Linked DNA regions of Drosophila melanogaster. The protein of the gene in region 2 interacts with the protein of the main gene of each other region in a pairwise test. Each region holds a gene or a part of one and is shown on either strand. Other genes may lie near its edges.

Evidence for each region. Proteins that work in one complex are often made in the same cells at the same time.
Region 1: the proteins of CG31872 (region 2) and Ptp4E interact in a two-hybrid assay, tested with the Drosophila melanogaster proteins (one large-scale study listed by BioGRID).

Annotation. Positions count from the first base shown.
Region 1 is NC_004354.4:4,937,255-4,941,014, reverse strand, and holds the start of Ptp4E (protein tyrosine phosphatase 4E), read right to left. Parts: upstream 1,888-3,760; 5' UTR 1,815-1,887; exon of another isoform or gene 1,711-1,814; intron 1,579-1,710; exon of another isoform or gene 1,483-1,578; intron 1,435-1,482; exon of another isoform or gene 1,340-1,434; intron 594-1,339; 5' UTR 369-593; coding exon 168-368; intron 1-167.
Region 2 is NT_033779.5:10,637,804-10,641,563, forward strand, and holds the start of CG31872 (uncharacterized protein), read left to right. Parts: upstream 1-2,127; 5' UTR 2,128-2,142; coding exon 2,143-3,760.

The sequences.
Region 1 (3,760 bases), on a different chromosome or scaffold from region 2:
GAATATTTTTGACAACCCTGCGCCATCCATTAGGAGTCCTCAGAATTTTCCCAACGAATTTCCCCCAAATCATAGAGGTAACTAACTTTGCGGGTTTACCTGTCGCTTTATCTTTATCACTATGTTTTGTTGTTGTTTCTTTTCCTTCATTTTTTTTTCTCACTCACCTGAGCCAAAAAAATTGTCAAAATGCCAACAACAAGCCACACGAAATGTTTTTGTTGTTGTTGTGAATTTTGGTAGTAGTGGTGGTGGTTGTGGCGTTGTTTTTGTAATTGCTGCCGCTTTCGTCCATGTGTTTGTATTTGTATTTGTTGCTGCTGATGATGTGCCCGTAATTGTTGTTGTTTTCGCGTGGCACAGTCCATTTTCAAGTACAGTAAAACCCAATGATGGTCGAAGGTTTCGCAGATTGCTGGTTTTACTTTTCAAGCGGGGATGGGCGGTGTTTTGCGCTTATTGTTTTACACATGTATGTACGTTTGTATTGCATATACATTTCTGTTGGCCGTTACATGGTCATTTGTTTGTATTGCACACGCATATTACGTTTCCTCTATTACTTAATTAATATTGCACTTGTATTGCACTCTCTGTAACGGGAAACGGGAGAGCAATGATGAGCGCGATCGAGAGCGAGAGCGGCAGATGTGGGCCCATTGTAATTGTTGTTTTCTAATACGATTTCCATTAACAATCGCCGGCTAATGCACGAAAAATGATTTATGTCCAAGCGAATTTGTAACGGCACATGCGTGCGGGAGAAGAAGAAGCAGAAGCGAAAGCTGCAGGTGAAGAGCAACACTGATCGTGGAGGGGGAAGCGGCTGGCTATGGAAATGTGAGCCACGCACAAGTACAAGTGCGTGTGCATGAGCGCTGCAAGTGTGTGATTTGATGCAGACACACATGCATACATAATCACACTCACACGCATTTGTGGCTGTAACGGCGCTTCACTACAAGTACAGTGGGCCCTCCCTGCTATTGAACACGCGAGCATGTAAATCTAACGAGATTTAGAAGTTAATATATGAAATGTAAATTCAATGCAAACATATAACGAATTTGGTTAATATGCCCGACAAAGTTTCGATTAGCGAGTCTTCACTGTGGCATTACAGTTTGCTACCGTTGTTATTGTTGCTGCATTACGAAATATCCAGCAATTAACAGACAATTGTTGTTGCCGCCGCTTTTTGCACTTCATATTTGCACTACCACTAGCTGAGCAGGTGTGTGTGTAGGTGTATGTGTAAATTACAGGTACTAGGGTAATATAAATTACAATAGTAGGCGGTTAATGGTGATTGCATTAAATGCTAATTGCACGCATTTACTTTTACTCCACCCTTGCTCTCCCACTCGCTCTCTCTGCCACACACACACTCGGACACACTGATGCAATGACTAAATGCGGCGGCGCAACGGCGTCGACGTTGGCAGCGACGGCATGGACGAAAAAAAAACTAATTCACTTGACTGTTGCTCTTTTTCTTCTGCTTCCTCTCCTCTCCACCCTCTTCATCCGCTTCTTCTTGTTTTCGTTGCACACCAATTTAAAACAAACTAGTCACGTTTCGTTTTAAGCGGAAAACATAAAAACAGAATATAAACTTCTGGCGCGTCGGCGCATTTGTTTAAAAAAAAAGAAGTCACAAACAAAAAATTTAGGCTTTAGTAACCGTTATTATGCAGAAAATAAACTGACACTTTTATTGACCGACAACTTGTTACTGACAAGAAAAAAAATAAGAAAAATTGGTTGCGAAAAGGAATCGGCCACGACAAATTGAAGCGAATGACTGCACGCACTTTTCACCACTGTTCATCAATGAATTTCCACATTTTCTGCCTTTTTGGACGACCGTCGCTTAACGAATGAATATAAATACAATACAAAGGCGTGACCGCCGCGCAGTGCTGCCGAAAAACAGAAAAAAAAACCCAAAAATACTGAATAAATACCACATATTTTACACAACACAGGGTCACTCATAATTTATTTAAAATTGTTAAATTTCTTAAAGAATATATTGTTAATATTATATGACATGTTTTGCTCATGTTTGACCAAATTTGATGTTTCGTTGATTCGGAAAGCGAAATTTAATTCATGCAGTTGATATTCAACAAGTATTCGTGCAGTCACACTTTGCAATTTCAAAAATTGCAATTTGGTAATTATTTCCAATGGTATTATTATAACTTTGTCATTTTTATTACTAGTCTTCTAATAGAAAATACAATTTATTTTATATATTGATATATTTAGTAAATAAAATAATATTTTGAGCACTTGTTAAAAATGTATCCATGTTTTCATAATAAACAGAACACACCAACTCAAACAAATTTGAAAATATCTAAAATTCGTTTATATTTGCAGAGAAGGAAATACCAGGTAATAAGTGAATTAAACTGTTTTTACTGAACTTTTTACAAAAATTTTATAATTATTTTTTTATTTTTTTTTAGATATGCAATATGAAAATTATATCAAGCAAGCTTAAGAAAGTTATATGAGCACCGGCACTCAAGGCTCACAGCTCGTAGAGTAAGTAGCTATCTTATGGTATTATTATATACAGGTTCATTTTTATTTGGTTTTAAAATACATATATCTCTGTATATATAACAAGTTTTTTTTCGTAGAACCTCAGAATAATCTCGAAGTGGTTTTGTGTGGGGTTAGCTAAGACGTTTTGAGACCAAAAAATTTATTAAATTATATATCAACAAAATTTAAATTAAACGTATTCGTAAATTAAATAAAATGTAAAACAGGAGTATGACCAGCTAGCTGTATTCAGTATTTTTGTTAAATTTAATATATTTCTTTAATTCTGTTAGGTAGCTGTAGCGTTAACAGCACTAATCGATAAATTGCCGAAGCTGTTAGGAGCTAACATACAGTCACTAGCAGAACGTCAAGTTGATGTCAGTAGCAATCAAAAGTGAAAAGGAAGCGAAAAAGTGCATTTTAAACTGAAAATAAAGTGTGATAAATAACAGTTGTAAAATCGAGCGGCTCAACCAAGGTAAAGATTGCAAGTACTATTTGATTGTCACAACATATCATATATGTTAAATATGTAACATATTTAAGGAGCAACACAAGCAACATACAACTGTGGTGAATGTATCTGTGTAAATATTGCCTTGGTGTGCGTGCAGTCGGCTTCATTTTGTTTTGCTGTTGACCTTCGCAGATCGAAAATGAGTTTAAATCGAATTCGTAAAAAAAAAGCCGCTTGAACTCTTCCAATGTCAAAAGCAGCGTTCAGAAACTGCGGCAATTGTGCGAAAAACACCAGAAAATAACGCCATCAATAAGTAGCACACAATACATGCAAATGTGTTTTTTTTTCTTGTGTCTTTTGCGCGCGCTTTCTCTGCAAATGTATTACTTAACAGTCGCTCTCTACGTCCCCATATCTCTCTCTCTCTCTTTCTCGCTCTAGAAATATAAACTAAACATTTTCTGCCTTTTTACTTTCTTTTTCCGGCTTTTTCTTGTTTTTGCCTGGCTATTACGGCTCATCTGTGTGTGTGTGTGTGTATGTGTATGCAGATACCGTTATGAGAGCGAAACCTGTTTCACATTCTTATGAGAATTCCAATCAAAGTCTTTCACTTTCCGTAGCTTGTTAGGCGCAAATGAAAACAAGGTCAGCCGCTGTTAAATACGCATGTTTTTATACAATATCTATCCTCGCGTTTCCTCTGTTTTCACGCTCAATTTCGCTCGTTGTTGTTTT
Region 2 (3,760 bases):
ATATATTTCAGCGAACTCTCGAAGTGCCACAATGTGGGCCAAATTCTTAGCATTCACCTCGATGGTTGTATAACTTCATGTCTTGACGAAAAGGGCGAAGCTTTTCCTTTGATTGTGTGGCGATTTCGTTGGCCAATGGAGCATGAAATTACTGAGGGGTGTGCCGCCGGCAAAGGGGGGGGGGGGCTGTACTTGTGTGAACATGGAAAACGCTCACATAACCAGGCAAAAAATACACTCAGAAAAAGAAAATCTCACAAGCATCAATTCAGAACATGCTTTCCTGGATGAAACTGTTTAGAATGTAATTTTTAAATCCCCAGAGATTAGCTCTAGTGGTATTAATTATAAAATGGAAATCTACTAATAGTTATATCTCTTACCTAAAAGTAAAAAAAAGTGTTAAATTTCAACCATCTTACTTGTTCAAGTGCACCAAGGTTCGAATGTTACAATCTTCATACCACTTAAGACTGCGTCGCGTTCTGCTCGAGTGCAAAGGGGTAACGATTGAAGATTGAACTCAGGAGTTCAGGAGCAACTGAGGCAGTCGAAAGTCACACCAATTGCGATTGACTGGGATTCCGGAAGGTGTCCATCGGGCGTGACACTGGCGGTGAGTGAAACTACATGTGTGGGAAGCCCAAAGGAAATACATTGAACAACCAGAACAATTAACTAATAACACAAAGAGCAATCATATCAATGCGATACGCCAGTGAAACCGATTTCCACAGTCCACATTACTAATTGAAAATACTCGTGACGGAATCCGATAACCGATGGCATCCAAATGCTGGCCATAAAGGGTGAAATCGCTCGTTAGCCCTCCACATGACCGTTAAGTGTCTCTGCCCAGCCTGATTCCTGGAACCCAACCGCCATATGCTTATATGGCATGACTGTGGGCTGAGCGCCCCAGTGTCATCATTACCATGACTAGGATTACGATTACTGTCATCGTCGTGTCATCACAAACACACGCAGACTTAGCGAGCGTCTTTATGGCTTTTGGCGTTGAAATGATAAGTAAAGTTTTTGCAGAACGTAGCGAACATTTTCCGGACATGGGGCTTATGTCCATGCTGGAAACATATGGCATATTGCCAGGCGAAACATTTAATGGTCTGCAAAATGGCCCGGGCCGGGACATTAAAAGTTGCTTAACCTTCATTAGGCGCCCGATTCCGCATCCGAATCCGACTGACGGCGAGATGAAATTTAATATATGTCAGGTCCCGACATCGGAGGGCTTAATGCCCCATTTGTGCAGGGCGCCACTGCATCCAAATGATGGTGCCAGAAAAAAAAAGCAAATCACCGCAAGTTGGCATGGAGCTTTAATCAGCCCAGCAGGCAAAAGGGCTAGTGGTGGTGGACAGGAGGGGGTGGTATTAAAGGGGCGCAAGGACACTAGGCAAACTCAATTTCGAGCTTGTTTCACGGGACAACGACCACGCCCAACCCGACCCACCAGAGGCGCTAATGCGGCGACATGGCATTATCCTTCTTCCTTTCGCGACTTCTTTCCCGACTTTTCCGACCACGGCTGCACTCTCCTTGGGTATTTTGATAATCAAATTTGCGCAAACAAGCGAGTGGCGTGAATTTGCCAACGCCACCGGAACAAGGACGAAACAAGGACCAAGGATAATAACGGTTGCGCCTCGTGCACTTGTGCAATTAGATTGTCAAAAGTTCAGTAACTTTACCCAAACCGAAGCGCCTTAAATTCTCCATTGTTCTTCTTTAAATTACAGTTTCACTATTTTTGATTTTAGATGGTAATAAAAAAATCAAGTGTATCCTTAAGCTTCTACTTAACATAATTAGTTATTTAAGTTCGATTAAATGAAAAATCCGCAAACCACACACTTGATCTATATCTTGTGTTTGTAACTGGGAAGCTAAGGCAAAAAAAAAAACACTTATTCAATACCAAATCCTGGAATTGTAACAATAAAATGTATTTTCAAGAAGCCCATCAATCTTGCTGTCCCAACTCATTTGCCACTTGTGATGTAACATCGAGAGATAATCCATTTAAAATCGCTTTAATCCATGTGTTATCAATTTCATGGCATTTCATTTGCGAGCCTATAAAAGGCTCCTTTCCGATTCGCTGCTAAAAGTAGTTTCAGAATGCAGTTAGGATTCCTTTACGCATTCGTTGCGCTCTTGGCGATATTTCGAGTGGAACCCAGCGAGGGAATTATTGATATAAACAATCAATTGAACAATATTATAAGCCCCCCGATCCTTCCTGCGGTTGAGAGCATATTGGACATCAATGGCGATGCAGATTCAACAGAAGATGAGCAAAAGGTGCGCTTGCAAAGAGAATCCATTGTAAAAGATTACGGATTCGTGTTTAAACCTCAACCAATAGTCTTGGAAAGTAATTCAAGCTATAAGCCCTCAGTTGAATCTGAAGGACAGGCCCAATCGTTTAGCCGAGGGCTTGAAGAAGCGAAGCTTCAAATCCAAAAGCAATCTCAATCACAATCGCAGGCTCAAGGTCTAGGTCAATCACAGCAACAAATCCAATACGCGAATATAGCCAGAACTAAAGTCCAAAAACAATTCCAATCGCAACAACTAGGACTGGCTCAATCGCAGCAACAGACCCAGATTCAACAATCACTGAATCAAGATGGAGCTAAATTACGAGAAAAACCTTATCCGCATATTCAAACTTCATCACAAAGAAACGCCGATGATCCAGAAAGTGAAGAAGCTGAAGCACCAGGAGGACTGTCGGGAAAAATAGCTTTAGTACCACCAAATGAAGAGGGAGATCAAAAGCAAGACCAGGCTCAATCACAGATTGAAGATGAAGCTGAAGTTCTTAGACAAGGTCTGGCGCAAACGGAATCTCAAATTCAGAATCAAAGACAAGGACTGGAAAAGGAGATACAAGGGCAATCCCAATCGCAGGATCAAGCTCAATCCCAAGATGAGGCTATTAATCCAGAATCGGCAAACGCTGAAAATCGATCATCACAGCAATCGGGAGATGTAGCAGAGAATCAGGACCAAGCTGAATCACAGGCTCAAGAGCGGTCACAATTGCAGTTAGAGGGTCAAGAACAGTCCCAAGATCAAGCACAATCGCAAGATCAATCGCAGGCTCTGGAAAAAGGGGGTGCACCGCCTCTATCACCACAACAATCGCTAGTTCAAGCAGAGGATCAAGCACAAGAAGATCCCATAGACCAATCACTTCATCAAGCGCAATCTGAAGTACTAAACCAAGTTAAGTCGCAGACTAACGGTCAATTAAAGGCTCAAGCTCAAATGCAAGCTCAAGTTCTCGATCAGGCTCTGGAAGATGCGCATGTTCAATATCAATCTCAGGCTCAATCACAAGGAATATCACTGTCTCAAACGACGCAACAATCGCTGGTCGAACCAGACGATCAAGCAAAGGAAGACCCCGTAGATCAATCACTTCATCAAGCCCAAAGTGAAATAATAAAACAACTTCTGTCACAGACTAACGATCAAGACAAGGCTCAAGCTCAAGCGCAAGCTCAGACTCTCGATCAGGCTCTAGAAGAAGCTCATGTTCAATATCAATCTCAGACTCAAGCACAAGGAACTCCAATCTTTCAACCACCACAACTTCAACCAGAGGATCGAGATCAAGATACCGCTTTAGACCAATCTCCGACGCAAGCTCAATTGGATGCTCAATCCCAATCACAAGAACAAGCGAATACTAAGCTTCAGCGGAAATCTCAAGCCCAATCAGAAGCTC